Danio rerio: one gene and its partners. The protein of the gene in region 3 interacts with the protein of the main gene of each other region in a biochemical or structural test. Links are inferred from orthologs where the notes say so. Each region holds a gene or a part of one and is shown on either strand. Other genes may lie near its edges.

Region 1 (3,484 bases), on a different chromosome or scaffold from region 3:
GCTAATCTACCGCCTGTGTGTTTTCGGGAAATAGCTGATAAAGGAGTCACTGTGGGCACTTCTCGTTTATAAGCCTTGCTCTTATATTTACTGAGATCTGTTTGTCTATTTTTGTGCTTGCGACGGCTCCGTTTTCTGCAAAGTACCTGGAAAATGCCCGTGCTCATATTTTTATCTCTAGTTTTCTTTTCGCTGAAACTGTTTTGGGAAGGTTTGTGCGCGCGGGGAAAATCCCGCGTTGCTAAATTTTCTCTCGTTCACACGCGCTCCATTCATCGAACGTCAGAGTTGAAAGCGCGCGGACTTCCTGACCGGTAGCGTGGGCGGGGGTTCCCGAAATCTACCCTTAGTGACGTACATAGACCAAAACTGCCCATATATGGGCCTTGCGTCAGCAGGAAAAAAAAAGCCAACGTGGGCACGTCTTCGACGTAACTTTAAAGCCGTAGGCTACAGAATAAACTTTGTTTCTGCTCTACGCTTGAAATAAACAACCCAAACAGTAGAATCATTTTCAACATTTTTACTTAAATATAAAAAATAAACAAAAACAAACAAACAGAAAAACAGTTAAAGGTCTGGCTCAACCTGACTCACAATATCAATAACTTACTGGAATGTTTTCAAAGGGCAGCACTTAACAACAAAACCAAAACTGTTCACTTCAAAAGTTTAGTCCATTGTCCGTTCGGCTGAAAGTACCTTATCTTTGGAAAACAACAATAACATTAAAGTTTTCTACAAGAAAACACTTAAGAAATATACAACGCTCGTACTCAGTGCTGCGACAATAACATCATCACAAACAGGATCTGCTCTTCCAGTGTTTCCCAGAGTCCGTAGCATCCCTCTCCCCCCTAAAACGACTTGATCTTCGGCGTCAGCATCAGCTGGCACCCGCTGCTCACATGGGTCATGACCTTCTGCTTAAGCTGAGCTACCTGCTCCCTCAGCAGGGACGCAGTGCTGGACAGTCCGGCGTTATCCGACTTGAGCACTTTCACTTTGTCCTCCAGCCGGGAGATGCGCTCCAGCTTCCGTCGCCGGCACTTGGTGGCCGCCAGTCGGTTCCGGAGCCTCTTGCGCTCCGCTTTGATGCGCTCCTGGTCCTCCATGTCGATGGGCGACATGGGAGGAGAACCATCGCTGCTCTGCAGGTCGGGGACGGTCTGTGGCTCCTCTTTCAGAGTAACGAGCCGCTGCGGATGGAGCGAGTGCTGGAAGTGATGAGGATGCGGCGTGGGCTGGTGGTGATGGTGGTGGTACTGCTGGTGGTGGTGATGGTGAGGCAGGTAGCTGATGGTGGCTGTCGGGTAGTTGGCTGCAGGTGTGAGGTTAGTGTTAGGATTGCAGCTGTTCAGGGTGGTGTACACCGGAGTCTCGGGCGGTAAGGAGGCGCCGAAGACTGACGACGCCACCGAACAACTCGACACCCCGGGGGCTCCGATGGACACGTTCGGCGGGGGCATTTGGTTCATTTTGTGGAGCTCGTCCAGCGCTTTGACGAATCCGTCCGCGAAGCCCTCTTGCTCCTCTGTGATGCTCCGACCGTACAAATACTGCCCCGGCGTGGGTGATGTGATGACGCCGTTACCGTTCTGGATGATGAGTCTCTCTAGCTCCGGAGAGGCGAGTTTCAGCGAGCCCACGTCTCCGGTCGCCGCCGTGTAGAAGTCGCTTTCGGAGCGGAGGGTCTTGAGGTTCCGGTAGGGTTCGGCGAAGCTCACGCTCATGTTCTGCTTTAGGAGCTTGTAGTCGTGCAGGGCAGCGTCTGGATGACCATAAGCAGAAAGAAACGAGTCGTCATAAAACGGTTGCTCCATTTTTGTTGACATGTGAACAGAGATTACGTTGGGACGTACTGAAGCTGACTAAAGTCCGCAAGTTCTCTCCGTTATATTACATCAGGCAAAAGAGAGCAAAAAAAGAAGAAACTTCCAAAATAGTTTACTGTACCAATTCGACAGGTGTTTTCTCTCGACAGCTGACGTCCAAAAAGTGTCTTCCCAGACGGTTATTTACAAACAGCTCTTCTGGCCCGTCGCGCATTCAGTATCATGATAAGTGCGCCTTCATTCTTATATACTCCAAATGCTGAGGGCGTGGCTGAGATAATCGCGGCCGCTGATTGGACGAGAGTTCGTTCCGCTCCTCGAGCTGTCAGATGGGTTGATGACGTTGTTGCCAGTAAGCGCTGAGATTGAAAACAACGCTGGAGGCGAGAGAGCAAAGGGAGACCGAGCGCTGCGCTCCTATTTTTGTTTCCACAGACAAGAAGCAAAAACTGGCCGCAATAGCTCGGCACTTTTAAGAAAAGTTTCCCATGGCCATGAAAACAGAAACACTACTGTGGTCTCTTGAGAAAAACACTACGTTAGAGGATGTCGTGTGAATAATAATAATAAACATTCTTGTCGAAATGGAAACAAAAGGTTCCAACACAATACTGTGATCTCCGTAGATCTGAAGCAGAATATACGAGGAGCTCTTTAATATAAACGAAATTGGAATTTATTTTAAATGTCAAGCTCTAAATATATTCCTTTAATTTAGGTGGAGCATCTAAACTGGCCATTTAAGTAAATACAGGATTGCAGGATTGAGATTGGGGGATTTCAGCCCAAGTTAAATGTGTCTGAGCTACCACATCATCTCGTCAATGATCAAGAGAAGCTCTATTAAAGGGTTAGTTCACCCAAGAGTTACAATTCTGTCATCATTTACTGACTGGATTCAAACCTTTCTTTATATGTTGAACACTGAAGAAGATATTTTGAGGAATGCTGGAAACCCATTGACTTCCATTGTGTTTGTTTTTCTTAACCGTTAGATTTTTTCAGCTTTCTTCAAAATATCTTCTTCATTGTTCAACATAAAAGTTTTGAAGCAAGTAAAAGGTGAGTAAATGATGACAGACATATAATTTGTGGGTGAACTATCCCGTTAATGTGCTTTATTGTTAAACATGCTAGGAAAGGCTATAGTGAGTAATATAAAAATAAAAGTAATTAAGAGAATATCTAATACAGATTCATACAAGGGCTTATCAGCTATTTGAATTGGACTGCTTTTTAAGTACTGAGTCATATAACACATAAAACATGACTAGTAATAATAATAGATCCTTCTCATAGAATTCACTGTAAATAAAAATGTGTTAATGAACAGTTACTGTATTTAGTGATTCACATGTGTGTTTTCTGTTTATTTATAGGTGTGAATTGCATTATGGGATGTTGATATCTGCTCTGTCGACTTTTAATGTTGAAAATTAAACTCTGCAGTTGAACAAAGTGACTTTTATTGACATTTTTGTCAACTTTATCAAATGAAATGAGTGGAGTTAACTCAAAATTCACTGAAAGTTAACTCTACACGTTCTTAACGTTTAGTTATTTCTTAAACCCAATGGTTGAGTTAAACATATTTGGTGCTTTGTTGGGTTATTTTTACCCTTTATTTGGTTATTTAATAATAACTCAAC
Region 2 (3,547 bases), on a different chromosome or scaffold from region 3:
TTCAACCATTTATTAATTTAATATTAAGTCATTGTTGCTGGTTAAATTGTTAAAACTTGTATACATCTTCAACTTCTACAATTTTTTTTAACATATTTGCAGGCTAACACTAACCTTAATAAACTTTTGTTTCAGTTGACACAAAAATGAGGCCATGATTAAAGGCATTGGTCTATTTAGTACTTGACTGTGTGATAATTACTTGATAATTTCAGCATTACTGATTTAAAGAGTCAATCAAATTATGTGTCTGCTTTATTTTGATGTAAAAATGTTATATTAAGTTTGCATTTAACCTTTAGCAATTAAGCATGTATTTATAATGTTATTATTTTTAATTACTGTAAGGATGTTTTTTGACACCCTTTTTTCCCAGTCCTGTCTGTGGACTTTACAAAACAGCCAGTCTCTTCCAAAACATGTTATTACATGTTTGTCAATTTGAACACACACACACATACACACACAAGCGTCATTTCCATTAAGACAACAGAGACATTGTTTTTCATTTGACATACTTTATTACAGTTCATAAATATTGATTAGTTTCTGAGGTGCTCAGAAAACAAACATAAAAAATTATTGTACTTTACTTACAAATGGTAAACTTAAGTACTCCTGGTTGATCATATTTACAAATAACAATGAGTGAAACCTCATTAATGAACTTTTTTTTTAGAAAAAGAAACTGCTTAAGTTGGACTAACTCAAAAGGAAAAAAGTCGATTTCCGTTCAATTTAAGAACAACAAAAAAAGTACAATATGTAGCTCAGAAGTCAGGCAGCTTTTTTATCAAAAGTTTAGCAGACACAACGTCCTGCTTGGTGAGCCAGTATCCCTACTGTACGGCAGTCGCGTCTCTGTTTTACTCCTATAATACTGAGTGCTCCTTTGAAGCGTATAGGTCCATGCACAACCTGGTCGATGTGAACAAGGATTTCGTCAGAAAGTAAAACATGTAACAGAGTGAGTCTCATGCGCTCTGCGTCTCTGTCGGACCGAGTGAAGTTTTGCGCTCCTCAAAAGTCCAGTCGGATCATCCTTTAACGGCACGCGGCCGGCCGGACGGTCCCGGTCCCCGCGGGCTCTGTCGCGCCAGATCGCAGACATCAAGCCCCTGAAGTTTGTTTATGTGGCTGAACTCAAAATGTCCTTCGGCTCTCCTCAGAAGGTTTGCAGCTGTTGTGTCAACATGAGCTGGCAGCCGCTGTTGACGTGGTTCATGACTTTCTGCTTGAGCTGTGCCACTTGCTCGCGCAGCATGTTGGCGGTGGACGCGAGCTCCGAGTTTTGCGACTTCAGGGTCTTGACTTTGTCCTCCAGCCGGGAGATCCTCTCCAGTTTCCTCTTCCGGCATTTGGACGCGGCGATTCTGTTTCTCATGCGCTTCCTCTCGGCTTTAATCCGCTCCTGGCTCTCCATGTCGATAGGAGAGAGCGGTGGGGTCTCGCCGGGCATCTCGGGCACCGTTTGGGGCTCCTCTTTCAGGGCCTGGAGGCGCGGGTGCTGGACGGGCAGCTGCGGTGGTGCGCTCGGGAAGCTCATCGCGGCTGGATTGGCCGAGCTGCTGCTGATAGCAGGGTTGAACGTGTTCAGATCCGCGTAAACCGGCGGATCAGCGCGCATGGCTGAGCTGTAGACCGCACCGCCCGCTATGGACGAGACCGGTGCCATGCTGCTGTTGATAGTAGTTTGGGGAGCCGAGGTGACGTTGGGCATGTGCTGGTGGTGCAGCTCAGCCAGTGCCCTCACAAAGCCCTCCGCGAACCCCTCCTGCTCATCCGTCACGTTCTTGGGACACAGAAACTGGGTCGGAGTTGGCGTCGTGGTGATCATGCCGTTGCTAGACTGGATGATGAGCCTCTCCAGCTCCGGTGATGCCAGTTTGAGAAGTCCCACGTCGGGAGAAGTGAGGATATCGCTGGCTTTGGCCCTCAGGTGGGGCTTTAGGTTCCCCGCGGGGTCGGACAGATTGAGCGTCATGTTGTGTTTCAGAGCCTTGTGGTTGTATCCAAAAGTGGCGCTGTCATGCTGAGAGAAAGCGCTGTTTAGAGAGTCATCGTAGAAAGTAGTTTCCATCTTGGTAGACATAGAAGGCAAAGCGAAACTTTTAGTTCAGAAGCAGTCTTTTAGGCGCTGTTAAGCACTGTCCGCGTTCAGTAACGAGCGCTGCGGTGTTTGGAACAAAAGCGAGAGGATTGGAAAAGTTCCTCAACTCCCCGTCCCGCGAGAAACTTACTGCGTAAAGTTATCGCCAGTGTCACGGGCTCGTCTCCTCCTGCCTTCCGCGGATAGAAAGTTCTTCCTCCGCCGCTGTCGCGCTTCTCAGACACCAGCAGATAAACAGTGCTTAGCCGAAGGCTTATTTATGTTGGTTTGAGTGAGGTGTTTCACTGTGGCGAGGTCTGTATACTCTGAGCTTCTCCAGCGTGGAGGCAAACCTTATCTGCTACCGCTGCCCCACTAAAAATAGAAATGATGTAATGCGCGCAGCCTCTCATTGGCTGGAGGCGTTTTACTGGGCGTGTCACAATTTCAGATAAGGCGCGTTGCCTAGACGACCACCCAGAAGATTCTACTCGCGGTGCCTGATGGGATGAGGTAATGCTGTAAAGCAGTGCATTGTGGGATTACGTATTGTTTTTGAATATCTGGTTACCCGCTTAGCTGTTTTAGACCGTGGCGGGATACAAAGAAGCAGAGTAATGTACAACGCGCCACTTTTAGAACTTAAACTTTACTATAAGTTTGAGAAGAAGAGGCAGAATAAATGTGTGCCGCTGTATGTTTGAGAGTTGACCAATTCTTGCGCGAGTTTCGCAAGACGCGGCCATTCTTTAACAACAGCAAGTTCCAAACACTCTCTGGATCCAGTTTAATGTATTGCATATACATCAGTAAGGTAAAAAATATATATTAGAAATACAGTTTGGAGTCAGTGAAACTAATTTCCAACCTTACAATAAAATGTTGAGGGAGATTTAAAACGAAAAAAAAATAGAAGAAATGCCTTCTGAAATAATAAATTAAATAAGCATAACTTGATGTTACTCATTTTGTTTGAATATAATGTTAGATTAGCTGATTAAAAGTATTTTTTTTTAATCAGTCGTTGAAATATATTATGAATTAATTAGTATTTGCTAATTTTACTCTTCTTCACTTCCAGCACTCCCTTGTTGGCCCCCTGGGGGTCCCCGAACCCTAGTTTAAAAACCTCAGTGTTATACAGGCATACATAATTTAATCTGGCACGAAGAAACAGGGCTATAGTCTGCTTTTTTATGCCAAAGTGCATTTGCTCCGTCAGCCAATGGTCTAAAAATGGGGGCGTTTCTTATTGTGGAGTGACAGCGTGCCACAAAGTCCAGCCGCCGTATCCGTGACAGTCCCTAGAGATCCTCTCAAAAGTGCAAACAACCCTGTTAAACGTCACTGCGTCAACCACAACCACAAACTGATCGAATATAGCGTGACAGCTGACAAGTGACGTTTCAGTTTACTTTCTGAGATTTTTACTGACGTTGCTTAAACGTATGTAAAGAC
Region 3 (4,189 bases):
GGGTGGCGATTAAAACAATTGTGGGTGTTCCCACCTTGAGATTGCTTATAACGTTTGTGGTAATATTCACAGAGAGCAAATGAGTTTGCGTGCCACTGAAAGTAAACGTTGTTCAGAAAATACACAAAATATAAACGGAATCAGTACATAAAACGCTTAACTACAAAGATGATCAAGAAAAAATGTGTTCTCTGTCATTGCGGCTATTTATCTTCAGGCAAACGCAGGTCTGTGTAGGTCTACAGCATGGAGAATACAACATGCTTCTGCCGAAGCTGAGAGAGGATCACGTGAGCTTCTCTGGTGCTCCTATTGGCTGTCACTCAAGCAAGTCACTCTTCATTTGCATAAAGTTGAGCTTGACACACCCACTTTGTCACCAACGGTCGCTGTTGCTCATGTAGATGGAGGTCGCTTGCTCTTTATTGAAATGAATGGTCGCTTGTCGCAGACATCCCAAGTAAGGAAAAGTGATTTCCAGTGAAGACAGGGATGATTTAAGGGAGATTGAGGGGTGGAGGGCGACATATCTGAAGAGCGGGGCAGGGGTGCGCAACGTATCTGAAGAGTGTGAACTGTGCAACTGTGCAAATCTGAACTGTGCAAAGAACTTGAGGACCGGGCAAAAGAAAAACGATTTCCGGGAGATTATCATTCGTTTGCAGGCATCCAGGAGTCTTTATGCATTTGGGGGTGACTCCCGAAATTTCCTGGAAACTTAGGATGTCTGTTGTCACTTGTCGCTGCAAGTCACTCATAGAAGCAGTACACACACATACATATATATGTGTGTGTTTACTAACACCACGTGGCCGCAGTGATTATAGCGGTTAAGAACTACATATCAATTTTACTGTCTTTATTACAAACATGCTCTGTATTAAAAACTTTTAAACTTAATACAAAAATTAAAGAGTTGGAACAAATATTTTATCCCAGTTTATTTGCAAACAAATGTTCTGTGGACATGTCTATACATGTATTATAGAAACGTATGCTGTCAATTAATTCGGTGCACATGGAAACCGCACTCCTATGTCACGTTGAGCCTCAAAATCACTGGGATCTGGGTCCTATTTTAACATCAGGAAATTTTAAAAATGAGACTTGTTGGGTTTCTATTACTCCAACATGACAGTGGACACACAAACAGATAGTTCTGTCCAAACAGCTTACAGAAGCTGATTTTCATCATAGGTGCCCTTTAAATGGTGGCAAAACTAATTTTTAATTAGATTAATTATTTTTCCCTGAGCTATTTTTTTATGACTTTTATTTTTTTTTTTGTTTAAAGATGAAGTAGAGCATAATGTCATATGATAATCGCTGCAGAATCCAATGAAACTTTGAGTGCCCAAAGTGCAATGCGATTTCCTCAGAACTTTCTAGTATCATCCTGAAAAATGAATATAAATGTACAAGAAATAGCTGCTTAAGGGCATCCTGCTATTAACTTTCTCACAAAACAAACACATACAAAAATACCTGCTGAGTGCTGCTGACACACATACAGTTCAAGTCAGTATTATTAGCCCACTTTAATTTTTTTTTCTTTGGTAAATATTTCCCAAATGATGTTTAACAGAGCAAGGAAATGATCACAGTATGTCTGATTTTTTTTTTCTTCTGGAAAAAGTCTTATTTGTTTTACTTTAAGCTGTATAGAAGTGACTTGAAAAAAAATCTAGTCAAATATTATTTACTGTCATCATGGCAAAGATAAAATAAACCAGTCATTAGAAATGAGTAATTAAAACTATTATGTTTAGAATTGTGTTGAAAAAATATTCTCCGCTAAACAAAAAATGCGGAAAAAATAAACAGGAGGGCAAATAATTTATCCAATGATGAACCAATAATGTAATATTGGACTGAAAATGTAAATAACAGGAAATCATACAAATCTTTCTTAATGAAAAGCTAACTTATTACAGGTGATTGTTTTAGATGTACTTCAACTTTCAATGTTAGGTGAATAAGCAACTAAATGGCCTAAAGATATGAATCGTAGTTGAATTACAGTGCATCTCTTGACCTGCAGAATGTCAACACATCCTTCAGTTCATGCATCACAGCAGTGTCATTGACCTCATTCAGATACAAGTTGCCCCCTTACAGAATATACACTGATATATTAAGCCAATCCACGAACACTAAATATAAATCCACAGCATGTCAAGAGTAGATTTACCACGTTTTTAAGTCATGTCATTCTGCTGCCAGGCTGCAGTCGCTCCATCACAGCAAAGCTAAGTCGCAGCTAGCTACGTCCCTGCATAACATACACCAGTTAAACAATAAATCGCATTAAACTAATAGACTTTACATCCCAAACACTCATGGTAAGCTCTTCTGCGTGGCTGTGAGTGACTCTTGTGTCGGCCTGATCCATCTTGAGGCCAGAACTGCTGCAGATGTGTATGTGTGTGTGTGTATGTGTGTCAAACTCCCGGCAAACTGGCACTCCACGACAACACGAGCACACAAACACGCGCTCTCTGCTCGCTCCTCCGTAAAAACACGACAGCATGTCTTTGTAGTGGCTAAAAGAAACACACGACTGTTTGAGGTGTATACATTTTCGCTAGCTCGCTGCGTGCTTACCTTCTCTTCTTCTCCTCGCGTTCTCCAGTTCACTCCCATACATACACACACTCGCCAGCAAACAGAGCCTCTGAACCGCGGAAGTGTCGGCGTTTATCGCTTCCACGTTCAACACGACGGACAGGTCAAGTTCAGCTCTCTTTTAGGAGGCTTGACAGTAAAATCCAGAGTGTGGCATGACTGACCGTTGGGCGGAGGTTGGTGGGACAGTATTTTTTCGACGTCTCTCTCTCTTTCTCTCGCTCGCTCTCGCGCACTGGGTAGGATGACGTAATGGCGCACTCGTCAGGTCGAGTTGTAACTTTTGATGCAGATTGAAAAGTTGCAGGAAGGATTGAAGCTCACTGTCAAATTGAGGTTGTGGCTAATAGACGAGAGACTTGTTGTCTATAAACATCGTTTTTAACTAGGCCAGGCTTCACAAATATAAGGCCTCCGCGCTGTCATAGTTTTTCTGTTAAACAAAATAGTTTGTTAAAATGTAAATCCCATAGACGGTAAATCCAAACAAATTTCTTCATCATATTCGCTAATAATTGTTTGACACTGAAAACACGCCCTACCCAATATATATAAATATATATATATATATAAATATATATATATATATATATATATATATATATATATATATATATATATATATATATATATTTTTTTTTTTTTTTTTTTTTTTTTTGTATAACAAAAATAATTCAAGCTTAGGGGTCTGTTCATTGGTAAAAGAGGAAGGATAGCTTAATAGGGTGAGTGTGTGGGGATACTTTCTGTTGTTCATTTTGTTGTACCTTGCCTGGTGCACTCCATGAATACCAATTAGCACAATGCAACTAAAATCATGTCAGCAAACTAATCTTAAGATATCAAACCAACCTGCCTCAAAAACACAAAACCTTTTTTTTTATTATTATTATTTTGATATAAAAATAAGGAAATTAGATTCTATCTGATGTCTCAAAACAAATTATTGTCTTCTTACTAAGTTTTATTTCGTTTTATTATTCGGTCGGCCCTTTAGAACAAGTCCTCCATTTAAACTTGTCCATATGATAACGACTTTTTTTGTCACCCTCTTACACTTATACACTACGGATTTAGCCTACCTTCCTCTGTCAAGCATCTCTTGGGAAATATTTCAAAAGAAAAACATGCACCATATATATATATATACACACAAACACATACACACACACACACACACACAAATATCAGATGGTAAATCAGCCTTTCTTTCATGCACCACAGTGCAATTTGCATCAAAGATGTCATGGGATTCATTCATTCATTCATTCGTTTTCTTGTTGGCTTAGTCCCTTTATTAATCCAGGGAATGAACCACTAACTTATCCAGAAGGTTTTTACGCAGCGGATGCCCTTCCAGCCACAACCCATCTCTGGGAAACATCCTCACACACACTCATACACTACAGACAATTTAGCCTACCCAATTCACCTGTACCACATGTCTTTGGACTGTTGGGGGAAACCGGAGCAAACCCACGCGAAGGCAGGGAGAACATGCAAACTCCACACAGAAACTCCAACTGAGCCGAGGTTCAAACCAGCGACCTTCTTGCTGTGAGGC
Region 4 (3,517 bases), on a different chromosome or scaffold from region 3:
TTCTTTTTTTTTTTTTTACAAATTTTTCTGCAGAAATAGCAAAAAATGTCTGCATATTCTTGCTGGCCCTGCTTACCTTTATTACTGTGTGATTCCCTACAAAGTGTGAAGCTGCCTTATTTGGTTCCTGTCACATGACTCGTTTTTCCGCTCACAGAACTCTGAAATGTTTTGATTTTTTCAACTTACGGCACTTGGAAAACGTGAGCGTGAAATACCTCATGTGCATCCCCATCCTATTTGCACGCTGAACAAGCACGTCTCTATTTGAAATAACAAAACTAAGCGTCCAAAAGACGCTATGTGAAAGTTACCTTTTATTGACTCGCAATATAAGACCTGCACATTGCAAGGCTCTGTTTGCAGTTTAATTTAAATTAAATAAATACTTTACACAGGCCAACCAAAGAAGTCCATCGTAAAATGCCCAGGTCTGCTTTAAGAGAACGTTTCAGATGGCACTTAGATGCTTTTGCATCTAAACTCTTCATTGACTATGTTAAATATTAATATATACAGTTTTAACTATTTTGGTCATATTGTAAAATGGGATAAATAGAAATATGAATTAATTAATAATTAATTGAACATTTTGAATGCCTAATGTCTAATTTTCCTTATATTTAATCTCAACTCATAGAAATAAATTTAAATATCCAGAGGGAAATGCACTAATTTCCAATAGTTTTATTTTAGTTTTACATTTCATCATTTATATTTCTCATTTATGAATTTCTTTTATAATATATGTCTAGTATTAACTGCACTTAAGTGAGGATTTCTAACCCTACTGGTTACTCACATTACCACCACCAGGAACATGCTGCATATTGTCTTTGGATCCACATCTAGACTTAACATTAGTCAAGTCGATCTTCTTATGAACAATAGTCACCTGGAAAAGGAGAGTCAAGAGTGTTAACCAGGTGCTTTGAGCCGAACTGCGGCTCCCCGGCTCTGCAAAGGGGTTTGTTTTCTTCTTAAAGACATTAGATTAGCTTGGCAAGCATTATTTTTTCTTTGTATTCAAATATTTTCTGTGTGAGCTTGAGTAATGGCTTCTTAGAAATGATGCTAGTCTCATACAGAATCCCAATATACACTCAAAAAGGATGAATTGACTGGCCTGTGAACATTGCATGAGGTCAAAACTGACTCTTACAGTTTACTGCACTAAACACTGCAGCTTTAGATTAATTGTGTCCCAATTTTCTGACATGCATGACATAACTACCTTCCCGCCTCCAGGTTGGTGTTTGAGGTTCTCAGTGGAGCCGATCTTGGACTTGACGTTCTTCAAGTCAGGCATGGGTGCCACAGGAGCAATCTGAGCGCGGGATCTCAGCGAGCCAGGTGATTTGGGTGGGGTGCGTACAACCGCTACCTTCTTCACCTGTTGCCCGGGAGTGGAGGACCGACTGGCGGGGCTGCTGCAACCACTGCGGTCTGGGGTTTTAGGTGAGTCGGCTGACAATGAGAAACAGCAGAAGACCACAATGTTTTCTTCTGTTTTTGCTTTTTTTTATTACACTATAGTTTATTGTCCTATAAAAGGCCTTCTAGCCTACCATTGGCATGATAGTATTTACAAGCTTCCGTGTCATTTTATTAACCACAAAACAATTCATAAATGTACTTGTTTGTACATAAATGTTTATTTTTTTATGATTATTGAGATTAATACATCAGATAAAAGCTAAATAAATAAGCTTTCCATCTTTTTAGTGATGTAAGTTTTTTAGGATAGGGCAGTATTTGGCTGAGATACAAGGTTCTAAAAAATCTAAATATTGAGAAAATCACCTTTTAAGGTGTCCAAATGAAGTGCTTAGCAATGCACATTACAAATAAAGAAATTGTTTCACATATTTACTGTGTTAAATTTACTAAATATGATCATGGAAGCATGGAACATCATGGATAATGGAACATGATCTTTACTTAAAAGGATAGTTCATCCAAAAATGGAAATTTCCTTATTATTTACTCTTCCTCAAGTGGATCCAAACCTTTATAAGTTTCTTTTTTCTGTTGAACTCAAAATAAGATATTTGAAAGATAGCTGAAAACCTGTAACCATTGATTTATATAACAGGTAAAACGAATGGTCAATGGTTACAGGTTTTTAGCTTTCTTCAAAATATCTTCTTTTGTGTTCAATAGAGTAAAGAAACTCAAACAGGTTTGGAACAAGTAAAATATGACAGTATTTTCATTTTGGGGTAAACTGTCCTATAATATTCTTATAAGTTTTGGCATTAAAAATGTATATTTTTGATCCATACAAGATTCATCATGGCCAACAGTGCATAGTGTAATAAAATATTTGATTAGATCCTGGCCCAGGACTTTTTTTTTTTTTACCTCTTTCAATGGACCCTGGTCCTGTCCTTCGCTGCTCCATCCGTGAAGCAGCTGTATTTTACAAATCAAAGTGGTACAAATCAGTCGCATAAATGCTCTATAAATAGAAAACTATGCCCTTGGGGTTTTACAACCCATTTCCAATAGGCAGAAATTGTGCTTCCAGAAGACTAGCAAAGCAGGAAGGTGTGCATACTTTTGCATGTTGCCATTATATGTACAGTTGAAGTCAGAATTATTAAAAGTTCCTGAATTATAAAGCCCCCCTGTTTATTTTTTCCCGTTTTTGTTTAACGGAGAGCAGATTTTTTTAACACATTTCGAAACATAATAGTTTTAATAACTCATCTCTAATAACTGATTTATTTTATCTTTGCCATGATTACAGTAAATAATATTTTATCAGATATTTTCAAGACGCTTCTATACAGCTTAAAGTGACATTTATAGGCTTAACTAGGTTAAATAGGTTAACTAGGCAGATTAGGATAATAAGACAAGTTATTGTATAACAATGATTTGTTCTGTAGACTATCGAAAACAAATATAGCTTAAAAGGGCCAATAATTTTAACCTTAAAATGGTTTTAAAACAATTAAAATCTGCTTTTATTCTAGCCGAAATAAAACAAATAAGACTTTCTTCAGAAGAAAAAATATTATCAGACATACTGTGAAAATGTCCTTGCTCTGTCAAACATCATTTGGGAAATATTTAAAAAAGAAAAAAAAAATCAAAAGGGGGCTAATAATTCTGATTTCAACTGTGAGTGAATGCACTGAAATACATCCAGGTATTATGTTATAATTACTGAGTGAATTTTTTGATTGTACACAGCAATACTGAATGCTTTAAAATAGAGGAAATCAGTACTAAATTGCAAAAAGTGTTTACATAATAACATTCAAGTTCCTTTTCAACCTGTCGGATGTTGAGTCACCAAAAATACTTCCTATTAATGGAACTAAATAAAGATTCATGTAGAACCCTGAAAATATTTATTTAAAAAAATCACTTACCAGGGATTTTGGCACCAACTCCTTGGGGTTTAGCACCCGCTGTCTTTGTCTTTGCATCTCCAGCCTAAATATGGACAATTAAAGCAAGAATGAGCTAGCGGTAAATCTAATGCTATTTATAATCATTTTACAGT
Region 5 (4,181 bases), on a different chromosome or scaffold from region 3:
CACAACTGTAGAATAGTATTTAAGGAAAAAAAACCACAAACGCGCTGCTTCCTTTTGTGACAACATGGGAAAATCAACAAGCCAGAATCAACAACAAAGCCAGAGTACAATTTGCTAAATTACACTGGTAAAAAGAATAATATTTGGAGACATGTCTTGTGGTCTGATGGAACTAAGATTGAACTGTTTGGCCATAATGACCAGTGTTACATTTGGAGGACAAAGGGAAAAGCTTACAAGCCTAGGAACACCATCCCAACTGTGAAGTATGGGGGCGTCAGCACCATGTTGTAGGGCTGTTTTGTTGCAGGAGGGACTTGTCCACTTCACTGCATAGATGGCATCATGAAGAGAGAACATTATGCAGAAATACTGAAGCAACATCTCAAGACATCAGCCAGGAAATTAAAACTTAGCCACAAATGGGTCTTTCAAATAGACCTTGACCCTAAGCACACTGCCAAATTAGTTAAAATGTGATTTAAGGACAACAGAGTGAATGTTTTGGAGTGGCCATCACAAAGCCCTGAACTCAATCCAATAGAAAATTTGTGGGCAGAGTTGAAAAAGCTTGTGCGACCAAGACAGCCAACAAATCTAACTCAGTTACACCAATTTTGTCAAGAGGAATGGGTCAAAATTCCTTCAAACTATTGTGAGAAGCTTGTGGAAGGATACCCAAAACATTTGACCAAAAGTTTTACATTTTAAAAGCAAAGCTAAAAAAAAATACCAATAAAATGTATGTAAACTTTTGACTGTCTGGAAATTAATAAAAAAAAATTTCAATAAAAAAATTGTCTCATTATTCTGGCATTTAGCAAATGTAAATCATTTAGGTAATCTTAACGGACCTAAAATAGTAAACGTTAAGTATGATTTACCATCATATATATATATATATATATATATATATATATATATATATATATATATATATATATATATATATATATATATATATATATATATATATATATATTATTTTTTTTTTAATGGTTATGTTCCTTTTTTTAGAGTGTATGTAAACTTCTGATTTCAACTGTATATATATAGTTTTTTTAATTGCAAATATTTTTGTTTTTATGCGCTGCTTGGTTTTTATTAGCAGTTCTTTTTTTTGTTTGCAAATTTTATTTTTATTTCTCAAAACTTGCTTTGCATTTCTTTTATTCTGCAGGTATTTGTGGTCCTAGATTGACTCCATAGTGTGTGAAGATTTTCATTCGACCTTGATGCTAGAAAAAATACTGAAATAGTTTTTCCTTTCATTCATTTCGCTCCACAGCAAGCCCGCGTCATGCCTGTTGCAGTGACGTCACGGCCGCACAAGGGACTCAGAGCAGAGCAAAAAGAGAGAGGTGGAAAAAAAGAAACAAGTGTTCGAGGCGTTCGTGGAAACAGGAAGCAAAGAGGGGGGAAAGCCGAGCCGAGCACAGACTGTTGTTGTTGTTATGAAAAAGAAACTTCGGAAGGGAGCGCTCTGGTTCTCACTAGCCCGTTATTTTGCGCTTTTTAACTGTCGGTGCTGTCGGCTGAAGCGCGAGGACTTTCCGTCCGTTGCTTGGACACCGATGAAGGAGGGAAGCTCGCGGACTAACGGCTACCTGATCAGGGGTCTCGGGTTTATTTGCCCTCCCTGACCGTCCACCACACTGGAACTAACCCCTCATTACTGTTGCCGTATTCCTATAAAGGCAGCGCGTCACACTGCACCTTTTAAGCAAAGCCCTGGTGGATTTTACCAGAGTATTTTTACGTTTGAAGAAGTCTTCAGTCCGTCTGACAGGAACGGTGCACGCGCAGCTAACGCGAGCTAGCGACTTAGCTGCTAATGTCAACTAACATGGAGGGAGAGGTGCATGTGTTACATAACAGCCAAACGCAATTAAATCACCGACTTTTGACACCCAACAAGCACAGCGATGGACGTGAATTAATCTCCAAAGAATAAGACAGGCCATAGACCGATTTATTTGGGAGTGATGGAGTCGAATCCGCTGATCAGCGGTAAGTTTTAATGCACTTCGCAGAGGTTGGGAGATGGTGGAGTGATTACAGTCGAGTTTAATAAAGTGCTTGTTTGTCAAATAAAGCAGAATACATTCAACAATAGCTTCGTTTTGTTTACGATTCGTTTGTACGTGAGCTCTAGGGTGCTTAATCCATAGTGTGTTGCAGAACGTTTTGTTCAGTGTGCCTGTTCACAACACAGTGAATGATTTTAACGTTATATACATTTGATTTTGGCCAGGGTGAGTTAACAAAACATGTTGGAAGGCTAATGCACAGATACTGTGTTGGAGCACATGTTTTGCAAAACAAATTTCTATCATTAACCGACTCCACACACTGCTGTTTTTGCGTCAAACACAGCATACCAGTGCTTGGTAGACGTTTTTACCTCCTGGATGTTTCAGTGATGTTCATTCAGCAAAAAGAGCTTGAATGTCATTTTAACACAGCTTTCTATATTTCACTGTTAATTAATATATATATATATATATATATATATATATATATATATATATATATATATATATATATATATATATATATATATAGTACAGTATTTCAAATCTCAGCACTCCCAAACAAGCTAGTTCACAGCGTGAATGGTTTGTTTTTATGTTTGAGAGGTGGATTTTATAAATTAAAAGCTGTTATTATATCGCTGTTTATTTCATATTGTACTATAATTGAGCAACATGTCCTTAATTTCCTCTGTTTACATTAATACAAAACACTCCAGGCTAGGGCTGCACAATATATTGTTTCAGCATTGTTATCACAATGTGATCATTGTGCAATGTTGAGTTTGTATTATAACTTATTATTTGCATGTGTTTTTGAAGCCTGTGATTGTATAAAGATTTTAAAAACATTCAGGCATAAGAAATCGTTCTATTTGTGGCATTAACTATGAATAACTTTATTGAATTATTTTAATTATTCAGTTACTGTACTTGAATACTATTAGACTCCATACACACAGAGTTGAAGTCAGAATCATTAGCCCCCCCTGTTTATTTTTTCCCCCGTTTTCTGTTTAGCAGAGATATTTTTTTAAACACATTTCTAAGCATAATAGTTTTAATAACTCATTTCTAATAATAACTGATTTATTTTATCTTTGCCTTGATGGCAGTAAATAATATTTTACTAGATTTTTTTCAAGACACTTGCTAATATACAGCTTAAAGTAACGTTTAAAAGCTTAACTAGGTTAATTAGGTCTACTAGTCAGGTTAGGGTAATTAGAAATGTCATTGTATAACAATGGATTGTACTGTAGTATATCAGAAAACAAAATATGTTTTTCAGGGAACCAAAAAATGGACTAATAATTTTTTTCTTAAAATGGTATTTAAAAAATTACAAAATGCTTTTATTCTTGCCGAAATAAAAAAACTTAGACTTTTTCTAGAAGAAAAAAATATTATCAGACATTTCCTTGCTCTGTTAAACATCATTTGGGAAATAATGACCGTTTTATTTTACATTTGATTGTTCTATTTCTGTGCTTGAATACTGTTTGACTCCTCAGAAAACGGTTATTTAACTTTTATTTTTGCTGTCATGTTTATATGCTTCTAAATGTATTATATTCATGCAGATGTACTACACAGAACACCTCATCATCCCAGTCAATCTAAATGAATGAAATCTTTCCAAATAGAGCTATTCAAATTATACGCTGAAATTTAATCCGTCACAATATATGTGTATAAATGATCTCAAAATCCACTTTGTGTACATATTTCATTATTATGTGAAAAACAAAACACAAATGTAAATTCAATCATCAGTCAATGTTCAGATTTGTGCAAAATATAAAACAAATAGATTTCCCAATCAACTTGAGAGTTAATATTTTTATGCTATTCACCTTGACTTACAAAAGTGCATTGAACATGATTGTGCAATGCATGTTAACCGCAGTGCTTGCGTAAACAAATCCAGTGTCATCTTGTATTACCAGCAGGCAGCACGTAAACCCAAGGAGACGGGATGGGCACATTGATGAACCTCAAGGAACTGTTGAGAGCCCCATTTAATTCACGAGTAGATCTGTTTATTAGGGATCTGCTTGGCGTTTTAGCACTGGATTAATTCTGCTCACATCACAGTCCTGTCTGGCTCTCCTCCTTTGGGATGGCCATTCATTCATTGACTATAAG

Evidence for each region.
Region 1: the proteins of mapk9 (region 3) and junba form a complex in vitro, tested with the Homo sapiens proteins (2 studies listed by BioGRID). The link is inferred for Danio rerio from reciprocal best matches to the Homo sapiens genes MAPK9 and JUNB.
Region 2: of the proteins of mapk9 (region 3) and jun, one has a biochemical effect on the other in vitro, tested with the Homo sapiens proteins (17 studies listed by BioGRID and IntAct, with this or other methods). The link is inferred for Danio rerio from reciprocal best matches to the Homo sapiens genes MAPK9 and JUN.
Region 4: of the proteins of mapk9 (region 3) and maptb, one has a biochemical effect on the other in vitro, tested with the Homo sapiens proteins (2 studies listed by BioGRID). The link is inferred for Danio rerio from reciprocal best matches to the Homo sapiens genes MAPK9 and MAPT.
Region 5: of the proteins of mapk9 (region 3) and elk1, one has a biochemical effect on the other in vitro, tested with the Homo sapiens proteins (2 studies listed by BioGRID). The link is inferred for Danio rerio from reciprocal best matches to the Homo sapiens genes MAPK9 and ELK1.

The regions. Positions count from the first base shown.
Region 1 is NC_133176.1:55,055,543-55,059,026, forward strand, and holds junba (junB proto-oncogene, AP-1 transcription factor subunit a), read right to left. Parts: upstream 2,061-3,484; 5' UTR 1,957-2,060; exon of another isoform or gene 1,836-1,956; coding exon of another isoform or gene 1,734-1,835; coding exon 858-1,733; 3' UTR 509-857; downstream 1-508. UniProt on the Homo sapiens protein: Transcription factor involved in regulating gene activity following the primary growth factor response. Binds to the DNA sequence 5'-TGA[GC]TCA-3'.
Region 2 is NC_133195.1:16,778,689-16,782,235, reverse strand, and holds jun (transcription factor Jun), read right to left. Parts: upstream 2,362-3,547; 5' UTR 2,093-2,361; coding exon 1,166-2,092; 3' UTR 502-1,165; downstream 1-501. UniProt on the Homo sapiens protein: Transcription factor that recognizes and binds to the AP-1 consensus motif 5'-TGA[GC]TCA-3'.
Region 3 is NC_133196.1:35,055,010-35,059,198, forward strand, and holds the start of mapk9 (mitogen-activated protein kinase 9), read right to left. Parts: upstream 2,813-4,189; 5' UTR 2,605-2,812; intron 1-2,604. UniProt on the Homo sapiens protein: Serine/threonine-protein kinase involved in various processes such as cell proliferation, differentiation, migration, transformation and programmed cell death.
Region 4 is NC_133178.1:20,907,586-20,911,102, forward strand, and holds part of maptb (uncharacterized protein maptb), read right to left. Parts: intron 3,448-3,517; coding exon 3,384-3,447; intron 2,416-3,383; coding exon 2,365-2,415; intron 1,468-2,364; coding exon 1,235-1,467; intron 1-1,234. UniProt on the Homo sapiens protein: Promotes microtubule assembly and stability, and might be involved in the establishment and maintenance of neuronal polarity.
Region 5 is NC_133183.1:10,265,945-10,270,125, forward strand, and holds the start of elk1 (ETS domain-containing protein Elk-1), read left to right. Parts: upstream 1-1,377; 5' UTR 1,378-1,985; coding exon 1,986-2,010; intron 2,011-4,181. UniProt on the Homo sapiens protein: Transcription factor that binds to purine-rich DNA sequences. Forms a ternary complex with SRF and the ETS and SRF motifs of the serum response element (SRE) on the promoter region of immediate early genes such as FOS and IER2.